2 linked regions of the Styela clava genome follow. The protein of the gene in region 1 binds, or shares a complex with, the protein of each later gene. Links are inferred from orthologs where the notes say so. Each region holds a gene or a part of one and is shown in the gene's direction. Other genes may lie near its edges.

Evidence for each region.
Region 2: nuclear cap-binding protein subunit 1-B-like (region 1) and nuclear cap-binding protein subunit 2-like share a complex: the UniProt entries of both Drosophila melanogaster proteins name them as parts of the nuclear cap-binding complex. The link is inferred for Styela clava from reciprocal best matches to the Drosophila melanogaster genes Cbp80 and Cbp20.

The regions. Positions count from the first base shown.
Region 1 is NC_135261.1:13,146,815-13,154,501, forward strand, and holds the start of nuclear cap-binding protein subunit 1-B-like, read left to right. Parts: upstream 1-4,681; 5' UTR 4,682-4,803; coding exon 4,804-4,855; intron 4,856-5,322; coding exon 5,323-5,527; intron 5,528-6,022; coding exon 6,023-6,179; intron 6,180-6,662; coding exon 6,663-6,784; intron 6,785-7,369; coding exon 7,370-7,550; intron 7,551-7,687. UniProt on the Drosophila melanogaster protein: Component of the cap-binding complex (CBC), which binds cotranscriptionally to the 5'-cap of pre-mRNAs and is involved in various processes such as pre-mRNA splicing and RNA-mediated gene silencing (RNAi).
Region 2 is NC_135252.1:23,083,288-23,090,740, reverse strand, and holds the start of nuclear cap-binding protein subunit 2-like, read left to right. Parts: upstream 1-4,436; 5' UTR 4,437-4,566; coding exon 4,567-4,841; intron 4,842-5,689; coding exon 5,690-5,828; intron 5,829-6,261; coding exon 6,262-6,378; 3' UTR 6,379-7,453. UniProt on the Drosophila melanogaster protein: Component of the cap-binding complex (CBC), which binds co-transcriptionally to the 5' cap of pre-mRNAs and is involved in various processes such as pre-mRNA splicing and RNA-mediated gene silencing (RNAi).

The DNA.
Region 1 (7,687 bases):
GAATCAGAGCAGAACGTTTGACCTTTGATCCTCAAACATCATTTTTATACTATGTCATTAATTTCGAGAGTGTTCTTACAACTTTAGATACTGTTTAGTACACCCGCGTAAAATTATTGGATAGAACATACGTTGAATCAGAGCAAAATGGACAGTTGACCATTGACCCTCAAACATTATTTCTATACTTTGTCATTAGTTTTGAGAGTGTTTTTGCCACTTTAGATACTGTTTAGTACATCCGCTTAAATTTATTGAATAAAAAATACGTTATATCAGAGGAGAATTGACGCTTGACCTTTAACCCCCTAACATTATTTCTATACTTCGCTGGTGGGGGAAGTCGTAACTGACTAGCGTCGGCGAGGAGTCCAGCAATCTACTCGCACATAATTATATTAACCGAATTCCTATTGTTGATGATGGCTAATAATGCATTGTCGAGTAACGTCCATAATAATTGATTGAGCTATGTGTCTGGTGCTAACGTGTCGCAGTTGCGTCACTCTCTAATATGTTCTGTTGCTGTAAGCATCTTATGTTGTGTGTTGCGCTGGTGTAATAAAAAAGTGTAAGCGTATTCAGTTGACATATAACCGTTGACCGTAACATATAACTAAGACATTATTAACACCTATCATTCAACACGATGCGCCACACCACCAAGCAATTATGAAATAAAGTCGTTTTTGCTACGCATTTTTCGATCAAGCCGAATCTTGCAAGCTACCATGTAGTCAACAATCGATCGTGGAGCTACGATTTGTTGGCATACATTTTAATTTTTCCACAAAAAAATCATACACAAAATACAAACAATTAACACAGAGAAGATTGGGAAAATCGGGGAAAACTGACAAAGCCTTTATAAAGTTTTAATATACGTAAATATACATGCGCCAGTTTACCCACATTCAACACAAACATATATTCAAAATAAAAAAGACAAAGACACGAACGGGTACCGGTGTTGTTCGGGCGTCAAACTTGTGTAACATAAACACTCGGTGGGACTCAATTATTAGCCTACTCGATTTTTGATTTAAAAGCTATTTTGACCGTAAATATATATATTACTGATTTTACCCGGTTTCATTGGTGAGCAATTGCAAATTTTCGGCGTGCAAAATTGACTCCACTCGCGTGCATTTTTGCGGAGCGCTAGCGCCCTCGGGCGTGCATTGTCATGGAATCTGCCAGTCTGGGTTGCGGCGTTTACTTCGTTAGACTCAGAATATTGTGAACTAATAATCACTGATGAAACAAACTGAAAAAACTATGAAAATCAATTTCAACAAATGGATTAGGAATTCAAAGGAATAGGGACTTATTTTGTTTAGACATTTATTCTTTTTTTGCATAGGCTATTTATTTAAATCACTCATTTTTATTCTTATTTAATATAATTGGGTGGCAACTGACTCTGATGACCCCCAAAGGTCGTATCGTTGCCCCCCAGTCATAGCCTATACCGAAAACTTTTTTTTTGATATTTGTTTATGTGTGCATAAATTGTTTTCTTGGTTTGACAAAATGAAATAAACCTTCTCTCTCTCTCTAACTCATTGGGTGAGCCAATCAAATAATCAAATAATAGTTTATTTATCCATAGGCTATTTATATTATGAGCACCATTGGTGCCCTTGCAATCTAATCTAAACTGCCATCTAATTTTGAGCCTAACCCTTGCTGATTTAAATAATAGTTTATTTTTCCACATTTATATATTGAGTACTATTTGTGTATCTGCAATAACTGCCATCTAATTTTGAGCCTAACCCTTGCTGATTCAAATAATAGTTTATTTCTTCATATTTATATATTAAGTACTATTTGTGTATCTGCAATAACTGCCATCTAATTTTGAAGCTAACCCTTGCTGATTCAAATAATAGTTTATTTATCCTATTTATATTTTGAGTACTGTTTTATGTATTCGCCAAAACTGCCATTTAATTTTGAGGCAAATCCTTGCTGATTCAAATTATAGTATATTTCTCCGTACTTATATACTGAATACTATTTGCGTATTTGCAATAACTGCCATCTAATATTGGGGCAAACCCTTGCTAAGTCAAATAATAGTTTATTTATCCATATTTATATATTTAATACTTTTTGTGTATTCGCAATAACTGCCATCTAATTTTGGGGCAAACTCTTGCTAAGTCAAATAATAGTTTATTTATCCATATTTATATATTGAATACTATTTGTGTATTCGCAATAACTGCCATCTAATTTTGGGGTAAACCCTTGCTAAGTCAAATAATAGTTTATTTATTCATATTTATATATTGAATACTATTTGTGTATTTGCAATAACTGCCATCTAATTTTGAGGCAAACCCTTGCTGATTCAAATAATAGTTTATTTATTCATATTTATATTATGAGAACCATTGGTGTATTTGCAATAACTGCCATCTAATTTTGAGGCTGAACCCTTGCCATATTCTTTATATTGAGGTCTATTTTGTGCATTTGAGAGGCTGACCCTCTCTATTTCAAATAATGTTTATTTATCCAAATTTCCACTCGATATTAAGATTACCAAAATTGTTTCACATTTGGGGCATATAATAGTTTATAAATTGGTACTTATATATGTATTTGTGGGTATTAGTCACCCATCTGTCTAAATTCTTTCTTGTTATAAGGCTGATTCCACTCTTTATACAATTGTTTCCCAATATTATATTCACATGACTATGAGTACCATTTTGTTTATCTCCGGAAACTTATTTTTATATGTGAGGCTTACCGCTTACTCACTCAAACAATTGTTATGTGTCCAACATTACATTTGAGTGTAGTAGTCCAATAGCCAAATTTGTTTTTTATTCATGGGACTTAGACCTCGCTTTCAAATAATAGTCTGTGTAATAGTTGATTATTCGTTCAAACTGTTTCATTTCTCAAAGACAAATCTTATCTTTTAAAAATTTACTTTGCTAAAATAATTATATTTTTTTTGTTCAATTTGTATAATGCGCCTCAGCCCTTCTCTTATTTTCTCATTTTGTTTTTAATCATCACATGTCGATGGCTATTGAAATTTGTAGCCCAATTGCAGGCAATTTAGGTAAATTAGATAACAACATCACATGTAATATCAAAACGATAAATAGCATCCCGATCCCGCTTACATATATTTTCCAAATATGTATCCATGACGAATGCTTGTAATATCCCTTCATAAATTATTCTCCCAGTCCAAAATGAATGCAATATTTCTTCAAATGAAAAATAGTAATGGGCTTCTTAGTTGCATCATACCACATTTATTTTGTTAGTTTTATAACTTTTCTGTATTACCATGTTTATTCAAATTGTTTGTTTGTATATATAGATGTTAACACGAACAATTGCTTAGTCCATTTTTTTGTTTTGTTCGTTTTTTTTTTTCTTTTCTTTCAAATTTTGTTTCATGAATTTTAACCACTTCAAATAGTCATATTTTACTGTGAACTAATCAGCGTAAACTTGGAGGGAGCTGACTCCGATGACCGCATGGTCGTATCGCTCCTTCCAGTCTATACCGAAAAAAGTGTATATATTGTTACCATTATTTATTGTTATGACTGTTTTTTTTTTCTGGTTGACGAAAATAAATCTCTCTCTCTCTCTCAATAAAAATAAAATACTAGATACCGGTATAAAATATGGATACAACGAAATTCTGTTATATTCGAAGGTACGGTATCCCCCCTGATCAGCACCTAGTTATCAAACAAATAAAAACTGCAATCACTTACAGACTCAACATTGAAAAAAATAGAAAATTACCCAATTTTGTCAGGGAATTTGAAATAGTCTACTTAGAAATTGTATTTAAACTATGAATCAAGTGTGTATAAATTGACTAGTATAAAAATGAACATGTCTAATATCTGAATATATTTAATTTTTCACTTTTATTGTACCGTACATATTATAACTCAATATACTAAAAATTGGTGATGCAATAGACATACTGACATGTGAAAAATTAATAACGGATTATTTATTTTATGACTGTTCGCCTGGTTATATACTTCAGTACTTTTAGTTATGTTTCATTATATAGACTAAAAACTTATACTTCTGTACTTATATATTATAGGCTACTTATTAGATTATCCCATCAAAAAAAATAATAGTGTGAGACTTTTAGCTCAGTACAGCAGTATCTCAATCAGTCAATTCAGCAGATTTTTACAATATTTATTGTTAGAATAACCAAATTCTAGTGATCTCTCAATTCTGCAATTACCATAATTGGAAGGAAGAAGTCGTTAGAAGTTTATTAACTACATTAAGTTTATCCAACAAAATTTTGTTATAAGTTGTCCATAGATCCCTTCAGCAATGTGGAAGCTTTGCCCGATTCTGAATCGTGTTTTTTGTATGCTTGTATTATTATTTTTTTTGATGGGCGGGCGTGTACTTTTACGTTTTTATGTTAGTTGTATGTTATGACTACCGAAATCAATGATTGATAATTAATTGATTTATAATTCAGAAATAATGATTTTAAAAATATATTTTGATTTTAACCTTTTAAATAAATTTGACCGTATTTATTTGCTAAACAAGTAGGCTGACCTGCTATTCCAATAATCCCTTCGAATGCCCCACAGAGACCTAATGTCAGAATGTTAACTTTGAATTTTCACAGAGACATTACTTCAAAAGCTTCTTATTCTGTCATTTCTGTATAGTACTGTAGTACCGGTACCAGTACTTCAGAAAGTCAAATTTAAGAATTTAGTCAATGTATAACTAAAAAAACTTGAGATTTGTTTCTATCCTTCGGTTGAAATGTCAAGAAGAAGACCTCATGATGCAAGGGACGCGTCATCAGAAGATGAAGGTATCGTATTGATTGTTATTTCAGTATACAGGTTTAACTACTAAAATGAGCACTACAAATGTAAAAACATTCCTCCCATTACACACTTTATTCTTTTATATAGTGGTCTTAGAAGATTTTACTGACAGAGAATCGTTCAATTTTTCCGTATAATTTTGCATCCTGGCATCTCATTGGACATTTGTTCACATATCAAAATATTTCACATAATTGTGTGTTTTTAGCGACAGCATGTCCGATTCACAAACCACATTTTATTCGACGCAGGTATAGGACTATCCGTGTACATGTGTACTCATTTCTGCATTTATACAAATAGGACTGCCTGCCTATATCGTATAATCTCGCAAAAAATTTCATAAAGTGGCAAATTCTGCTAAATTTGAATAACAATGTTCCAATATTTTCAAATGTTATTAGAATATTTTCGAATCCTAGACTATCAATAAATTATGTATTATATCCAGCTGAAGCAAGTGGTGGAAATCTCTCAAAGAGAAGAAAGACTACGGAAAGTTCTGAGGAAATTGAGAAGAGACTTGAATCATTAATTTGTAGAGTTGGAGAAAAAAGCAGTTCATCCTTGGAAAGCAATTTGGAAGGATTGTCGGTTGTACTTGAAGCAGATCTACCAAACTTCAAACCTCAAATTTTAAGGATTTTAGTTTTATGGTACTTTTTTTATTTTTTATATGTGATTTTTTTAGTAAATGTAAATTTTCTTCATATTTATGAACCTAAAAGTTTGCAGTTTCAGTTTTATTTGGGACCCAAATGTGATTAGTGATTGCCATATATTATATATTCTGGTATAATATTTATATTCAAATGAGCACTTTAGGTTGCATTTAGAATGAGTAATTCTTAAAAAATGAATAAAACATATAACAGCACATATAAAAGGAAAATTTATGTTAATGTAAATTCAGCCATTACTTCCTTTTATACATTGGTATTAATTTTTGGAGTGTTTTTTGCTCAAAGCCAGGTCGTGGGCTCTTGAATTAAAAGGGAATATATGTTTTTATATAGGTTTTTAAATAACCTACAGAGGTATGATCAATGAATTATGATGAAAAAAAACAAGGAATCATACAGACAGTTAAAAATTCCCTTAAAATATAAATTTATTTATTTATATTTTTACATCTACATTTTGTATTTCAGCTCTTATCAACTTCCAGAAAAATGTACGATATACACAACTCTTGTTGGTTTGCTAAATGTTCGAAATTACAATTGTGGGGGGGATTTTATTGAAATGATGGTTCGTGAATTAAAAAGATTGTTAAATGCTAATCAGTACGATGATGCTCGACATGTTGTAAGTATATATATTCATTCTGCAGTGGTATCTTAGTAGTATGCAGTAGTAGTGGTATCTTAGTATTATTTATGCCTTTGAAGTTACCGTGTCCTAACAGCTTGCTTGTGCGTAGCGAGCAACGAATGTCATGAGATCAACAACCAAAATGTTTGTGCTTGCAACTACTAGACAGCTTATGTTAAATAAAGGTGCGGCCCGCAGTTTTACCCAGTTATTTGTATCTGGCCCTTCTCTATTATTAAAGGTTGCACACCCCTGATTTAGAACATGTAGAATCTAACTAAGATGGTGCCGTTAGTTATGAAAAAAGGGGTCATGCGTACCAATCACCCAGAGGCCAGAGCATTATAAATTTCCAAATATAGTTGATGTTTCTCGTGTTTGTATAAAACTTTCTACATTGCAGACACAGAAGATACTTCATGATAGTATACTGTTTGCTATTGTCGACGTTCCTAAAATTTTGTATTTCAATTTCAGGTGAAGTTTATTGCAGATCTTGTCAATTGCCACATGGTTACTCCTGAATCATTGTTTGGATTTTACGAAAATTTATTTACTGTAATTAGAGAAGAAGATGTTCCTCAAGCTCGCAGAGATTGGTGAGTATTTTACATCAGTGGTTCTTAAGCCGGACCCCCTTTTCAGAATTTGTCAAGTATCGCGCCCCAGCTCAAAAATAACTAATTAACAATAAGCTACAAATAACAGATAGTAGAGCGAAAGTATGTATAATTCGAAAAACACATTGAAAATATGTGGATGGAACATATATATATCCAAAATAAAGAAAAGTAAATATCCAAAATAAGGTAGACAGGTAAGATCAAATTTGACAAATATTAGCGAAGCCAGAAGTCACATCAGCTGGCAATGATATATCCAAAACTAAGTAATTTAATATTTATTCATTTGATGTTTTTTACTATGTTATATGTTGGTTTCACAATTTTACTTCAAAATTATTAAAAGTTAAAACATTATATTGGGCGTAGATATGCTTATTTAGACCTAAAATCGGTATCTATGTGATTGAGTTCTGAATAGTAAAACAATTTTTAAATAACTTGAATTTCTATTTTATAATTTTTCACTTAGTTGATTCATTTTCAGCATATTATTAAATTGCTACCTTTGGCTGTATCTTTTATTAAATAAAATTAACAAATATACGTTCACTATTCCAGGTATGCATATTCCATATTAACTTCTCTGCCATGGGTTGGTGCTTTGTTACAAGATCAGAGGTCAACAGAATTAAATCAAGTTTTATCTGCCTTGCATGAATACATCACTAGGAAAAGAAAAAAAATCCATCACAGTTTCTTGAGAGTCTGGTCGTCAGATGAACCACATCCACAAGAAGAGGTGAGATCATAGGCATTTATTGTTAAAGGGATGTCAATTCTTTTCAATATTTTGCCTCGCAATGGATTGTGATCACTAGGGTCAACCTTAGCATGTATTGTTTGCAATTTACTTACAAAATCAGAGTGGAATATGTG
Region 2 (7,453 bases), on another chromosome or scaffold:
TCGCTTCTCGTCTTTGAGTCGAAATTACTAAAATGAAAGATTACTATTCTAAAATAACATAAAACACTTGCTAAACTGCCAACTATAAATATATTGGAAACAAAGTCAAATAAACGATATATATCATGGCTATCACTTGTATATCATGACTGATTGTGTGACAAATTACAGCGATTTATCGAATTCGACAAATTTGGGCCGCTCTTGCAACACTTACTCCGCTCTATCGCAGGTCTGTCCCTGATTCTTTTTAACGTTTGAAATTTCCGGACAAAATACGAACGATTGAAATTTTTTAACTGCAAAAAAATTGATTGATATACTTCACAATAATTATCATCGCCACATAACGAGAAAAAGTCGCATGCGGTTCCTGCGGTGTTTTCAGAATGGGTAAAAGTTACATCGCGCGCATAATTGACCGTGTTTTGATTTCAGCGACTACCGTATAATTTCCGAAGAAAACCTGACATAACGCCAAATTTTGTGATTTACACGTTTTTAATCTGTCGTGGGTCTGCTAAAACAAAACTTATGGTCTTATCTTCCGTTTTATGTTAAATTTTAATATTTTATAATGCCGCTTTTCAATCAAGAAATTTGTTTTTCACACTGAACTTACAATTCCGTACGAGAACAAAAAAGTTTTTATCGTCGTCCTTGTGGAACAATACCTGCATATGCCAAGGAACTTTTGTGATTTGGGGAGAATAAACACCGCTGTACTACGCAAATAAATGTTATTCTTTTCTGTTTCGGTCATTTCAATTTTTTGCCGGTCCGCGAGTACTTTTATTTTAATTTTACTGGTCCACCAGGGTAGAAAGGTTGGGAACCACTGACGTAAACCACGGTCTAAAAAACAATCGGCGATTTCAAAATATACAATCGCACACGTTATTAGCAACGGTTTCAGTCTACCAAAAATATCAAAAGGGAAGGAGTTCGACCCCGAATTTATTGATATGTTTGTCAAGTGATAAAGCCCTAATACAGTCATAATATATATAATTTATCTGGGAAATTCAGATTTATTCATGGCTTGTATTAACCCTATTAAAAAAGATTCAACATTCAAATTAAGTAAAGTAATTTTAACTTACTCAGGAATATTAATCGGTAAGTAACACTGTGTTTTTTTTTATTGGTTTTTAAAAATGTTTGTGGGGCTGTGAATAATAGTCAACCTCTACAAAGGCTCTGTAGTTTGAGAATCCCTGGGCCTAAACTGATTAATCTTTTGAGTTTCGATTCAATGAACTAATGAGCAATAATTATATGTAATGGGATTGTTAGTGTCTAGGAAAGAAGAAGAGATTTTTCACCATTAACAAGTAAATATATATACAATATTGAATATAAAATCCGCAATTCGGATCATATCATTTTTGTTGGGATCAGTTTGTAAACAAATGAAGGTCACCGAGGCTTCTCATTCACAACGTTAATTTTTTTTAAGCATTTATGATAGGCTACGGTAAGAGTATACTACCCGAAATTATGAGGCAATTTTAATATAAGAAAAAAATGAGTCGGCAATAATTCAGAGAAGCTTTATGTTGTCAAGGTCATGTGAATGTTATCTTTAGATGTCTGTCAGTAGTTTATTTTTGCACATACTAAGAATACGGAAGTTTACAAACAGTAGGATAAAATATAAATAATGTATTTCAGCGTGAAGGGAGACGATAAACCAGTCATGGTTATCGAGCAGCGTCATCTAAATGGAAAGGGAGAACTGATGGGCACTGTGTTAAGGGCAAGCTCGCCTTGTACTTGTGCGGATTCAGCAATTGTCGGGCCAATGTTTTTTTTTCACGAATCCGTGTCTTGTGGGCTTTGCCCTGATGAATTTCCAACGAAACTGATTGTTTTTAAAAACGTGGCCAATAGATTCTCTTCATGAATCAAACGAAAAGTCTATAAGTATGTCAAAAAAATCAGAATCAGGCTGACGAAACGATTCAATTTATGCTACGTCGTTCTTGTTTGTTTGTGGGTAAACACACAACTGTTCAGGATGTTTGAGTATATTTATGGATATAACATAGACATCATAGATTGCAATACTTAGCAGCATGCAGTACGAGCAAGAGAGAGCGTAAGCAAGCAAAGTCAACGGTGACAAGTATAGCATTAATAATGAGGTCATAAATATCATCTTACAGTTCTCAATTTTGATTACATTACAAGCATGAGAGCGATGCTCAAATAAATAGACACGAAAACCAAAAAGAAGCAGTAGGCCTACTCTACCATGGAGGATAAGAGTTGAGTTAGGATATGCGTAGGTTTCCTTCTATTAAATTCTCTTTTCTGTACTGTACTGAGAGTTATGTTTTTATTTGCACCAAACCGTTTTTCAGTTTACGCTTAAACCTAAAAGTTGTAGGCACTGAAATATATTTAGGCGCACTGTGAAATCTATTTTTGGAAATACGGGACCCCAATAATTTCGAAGATTTTATACGAATCTTCGGTGAAAATAGTTGAGTAGCTTTGGTGTAAAGAAGCCGAGATGTCTGCATGCATATTGAAGTTTTTGGATCGGTAGTTGTTGCCAGATTTAAGTTAATTTTATGAATGACCTTCATTGGCAAATGATCAACATTACAAATTCTCAAATGTAAACTTTTTAAATTCGAACCAATTTTGTTACACAGCAAAGGGCAACGCTACTAGTTTTATGTTTGTTGTTTACTTTTTAGCTTTGTCTATTTACCAAAAAAATTGAAGCTAATCACTCATTATTAGGATTCGCATTCGGGCGCAGGCACCTTTGTATAACTTCTAATTGTTTTTATATTCTTTACCACTTTCGCTCATCAAAATTATTTACAATTTTACAAGTGGGCTTTGCCCGTGAATTTTATTTTCTCGTCTTCATGTACGCTTTTCATTATTGCATACCCGATATAGACTGGTAACCACGCGAGTTACCGGTTCGTCACACTTTCATTCATAATCATAGAGGAGTCCAGCAATCCTCTCGCACATAATAATCCCCTCGGGATTCGAACCTGCAAATGCACGCAAGTTAATCAGAGGTGCGGTAGCGAGCGCTTCAGCTCAACACGACGCGCCACACCGCCGTGGGTAATAATTCCAATAATGGTTATGGGATAACCTATGCGGACTGATAACCGAACGAAGGGCTCTAGTTAGCTGTATTACCAAGCAGTCTATCGACTTTTTATCCTCCCGAAGCAGGGCTCGCCAAGCCTTTTTAATGGTGGACCCCTAATTTTTATTCAAAGTGGGCCTTTTCCCCCGAGTGTTTCTTGGAAATATCCAAGTTAAAATCACTTGCTGTCTTGATAGAACTATTTAATTTTGATGCACTCAATATTATTACCCTGTACAATTTTGGACTAGTCACCTGGGGGTCCATCTGAACCACGTCCGGAATCCCTGTCCTAGGGTCTAGGCTAGGCCGTGGCTCGGCAACCTTTTGTAGCTCGCGGACCAAAATTATGGCCGCATATTTTTTTAGAAAAATAAAAACCGAACGAATGGCCGATAAATCACAATTTTCACACAGACAGAAGTGAAAATTTTAAATTTTAAGCAGCACGCAAAAACCGAGACAACTCATGAACTAAACTTCGTCATTTTACTTTCAGAAAAAAATTTACTATTGACATTTAACGTGACACTTTTTAATGCATCACGCTTGATACGTTTTCGACATCACACTAATTGGGAAACATTTTCAAATCGGACACTGGATGAAACCAAGATTAAAACATTTTATATAAATGGGAATCACTCATCCGAGTTTTCTGCTTGTTGGACACGTAGTGGACATAACGATCGTTTCAAAATTTTGTTGTTATTGTTATTATTTGTCTCCATCAACACGTTTTGAAGAAGTCGCTTTTCTCTTCGAATACTGGACCAATTGCTTTGAAATTTTCATTGGTTCAAGATAAAGGCTATTACTTTTTTTTCGCTATGACGTCATCAAAATTATGTGAGTCTACGTGTCCATATATTTGAGCATAGCTCTCTTGTTTTTTGTTATGTTCATTTTCGAAAATAATTGTTCGCATGCATATGTAGCCTACTTCCAAAAACATCAATGTGAATTTTTTCGCATGGTTAATTTTGTTGTTAATTTTGGATAGAGTTTTCCTCAAAGAAAATACTTTTTTATAAAAATCAACCAGTGATACACCTCTCGAATAGAATATAGATTTATTTCCCCAATGCGTTGCACCTCAAAAAGTCCATTTGAATACTTTTTGCGTGTTAGGTCATATTATAATTTAGTCTACACGTGACTCACAATAAACTCTGTTACCTAAAAAATATAATCGTCAAAGCAGCCGTTTTGTATCTATACTTCAGTGGAGCGTCGCGGGCCGAATTATTTCACTTTCACTTCAAGCCCAAAGCATGCCCGAATAATTACGAAGATCTTGGGTCAAAGGTTAGAGTAGGCCCAACATTTTCTGCTAACTTCACAGAGGTGTAGCTGCAGGGTTGTGAAACTGTAAACGCGTTTTCTCGAATATTTTTAAAATATTGTTCATTCTCACTATTGGAGGAGTAACACTTATTAAAATGGATGTGGATATAACGGAAAAGACTATTTTAAGGCCTGTAGCCAAGGATCCTTACGTAGAACTAACGCCGTACCGCGATCAGCATTTCAAGGGGAGTCGTGACCAACAAGACAAGCTTTTGAACCTGACTACAACGCTTTATGTTGGGAATTTATCATATTATACAACAGAAGAACAGATATATGAACTCTTTGGAAAATGCGGAGATATTAAACGAGTTGTTATGGGTTTAGATAAATATAAGAAAACGCCATGCGGCTTTTGCTTTGTTGAGTAAGTAAAGTTTTTTTGTGGGGTATAGTCAATTACACATCGTTTTCTCAAATTTTCAACAGTCATTTTCTTGGAGCCCTAGGAAACAAGATACGAGCCCTCTGGACTTCTTTCTTTAGGGTTATATAAAGTATATTGTGTATCGAACAAATAAACGGGACATGACCAACCTAAAACATATAATTTACAGGTCTGGTATAGTTTAGTACCACATGCACTTCTAGTTGGCCTGGCTCAACAATTTTTGCACATGTCAATCCTAACCCCCGCCTGACTACGTCACCGAAACATTACGTCATTTCGACGTCAAAGTGGCGTAAGAAGGCCCACCAAAGTATGCGGATGGTCGTCCAAAATGCGCAGACGATCACCCGAAATCGAGGTAGGAGGGAGATAGCCGGCGTTAGCGAGTTCGTTATCAGCGTCGCAGATGCCATTTCGGGCGATCTCAATTATACTTTGGCAAGCTCTATGACATGATGGTGACCTCGTCGTAGTGGATGGCATAGTCAGGTGGGGGTGAGGAATAACATATGCAAAATTCGTTATGCTACGTCCATTGGAAGTACTTGTAGTACTAAACTATACTAGACCCAAATTTCCAGTGCCATTGCAATCATTGATGAGGCTATGCTACAACGAACATGACAGGAAATTAAGTACCGTCTGGATGTGCTTTTTATAACTGATGGTGCCCGTATATAAGTGTATTAAATGTGTCAATAACAATTTTATGAAATACTGATTAACATAAAACAACCCTCATTGCGATATCTCATCATTTTACTATGTAATAATTTTTTTAAATTGTTAAAAAGCTTTATGGACACCCTGTACATTTATTTCAGATACTACGCAAGAGATCACGCTGCTGATGCCATCAGGTATATAAACGGAACGAGGCTTGATGACAGAGTTGTGCGAACAGACTGGGATGCTGGATTCAAAGAAGGAAGGCAATTTGGAAGAGGAAAATCTGGTGGACAGGTATGTTTTTTGCAGTTGTTTTGTATATTACAGAGGAGTAAAGACAGAGATAACCAGCACTTAATAATCCACTTCTCCAAATTCATTCTGAAAAAATGTTTCCCAACATCTTGGGTAATGCTTGCTACTTGCTAGGTAAATTCCTCAAATTAAACTCAAAAGCATGAGTCAAAATGTGGGTCTAAACTTGTGTCAAATAAATTTTCAATTGGTAATTTAAAAAAGTTGATTTAATTTATTTTTGGGTAGGTAATGACATCGAAAATCTATGCTGAAATGTTTTATCTGTGTCCTATCTGTGCAGTTTATTTCCTGATCATTTAATATTGAAGCTTTCAATCACAAATTTAATATCTTTGGAAAATGCACATTTCCAATTGTGCACGACTAGACTTTTTATGATAAAATTACATATTTATGTTTTTGTCTTCAGGTTCGTGATGAATACAGATCAGATTATGACCCAGGAAGGGGAGGATTTGGTGTCAGAGCTCAACTAAAACCAAAGAATCCTAACAAGTTCGGACAGAAAAATCAACAACAAAACTAAATAATCTTTCATGGCTGTCTGTGCCCTCTGTGGCAAGAGAAAAACTCTGCGAAGTTGTCGGATAACTGCTGTTACTCCATGAAATTGTACTTTTTATTTCCACCTATTTGGACAAAAAGCCATTTTTATGTAAGTTGGGTTGCAGCCACTATAGAATTATCTTGAAAACAAGTTATCTTTGTACGACCATATCGTTATCGTACGACCAGGGATGACCATTACCAAATTGTTTATTATTTTGAAATAACTTATTTGAATATGGCATACCGGAGGAATATATTCAAATTTGTCACCTTCAAAATTTGGTCCAAACATTTTAATGTATGGTAATCTTTTCACAACTTCTGAGTTTGAATTGAACTAACCTCATTTTTTGTCTGACAGTCTAATGGTATTTGCCAAAGATGACAAATTTCAACATGGAGCCCTCCTAAATTATTCCTGGAATAAAAGAACCTAGACATCCTTAATTAATAGAAAACTGGCAAGTGCATCTCTACACTAACAAATATTTGCAGCCTGGAGTTTTCATCAAATAACGTTCATGTTGGACATAATAAATATCCTGCTTGGAAGCAGGGTCAGAGTTTAGCATGTTGATAATTGAGTCCGGGCTGTATTTTCAAACGCTCTGGAGTCTGAATTCCCTAACGTCTAAATTTCATTCTCTCAATCGTAATTTTACTTAACCCGATCGGAGTTGTAGTCAAAATTATTTTCAAAAGCAGTTTGGAGTTGATTGTAAATTTGTTCCAGACACAAGCTTGAGTCAAAAAATAGCGTAGTGCTGTAAACTGGGCTTTGATGAAATCTGATATTGGGCAATATTATTCAAATTTATAATTAGCAAATGCCCATGTTCAAGGTTACTCTAATAACCCAACATGACGGAGCCTTAACTCCAGAAAGAACATCATAGCTGGTCGGTCATGACTAGTCACTTGTAACTGATGACATCGCTGTTCCTGCATTGGTTGTTTTCACAAAAATTAATTTTTATTACGACTTTTTCATTTTTATTAGTGTATTTCTCAAATTGGAATTGCGGAACTGAATTGTGCACAAATTCATTTCA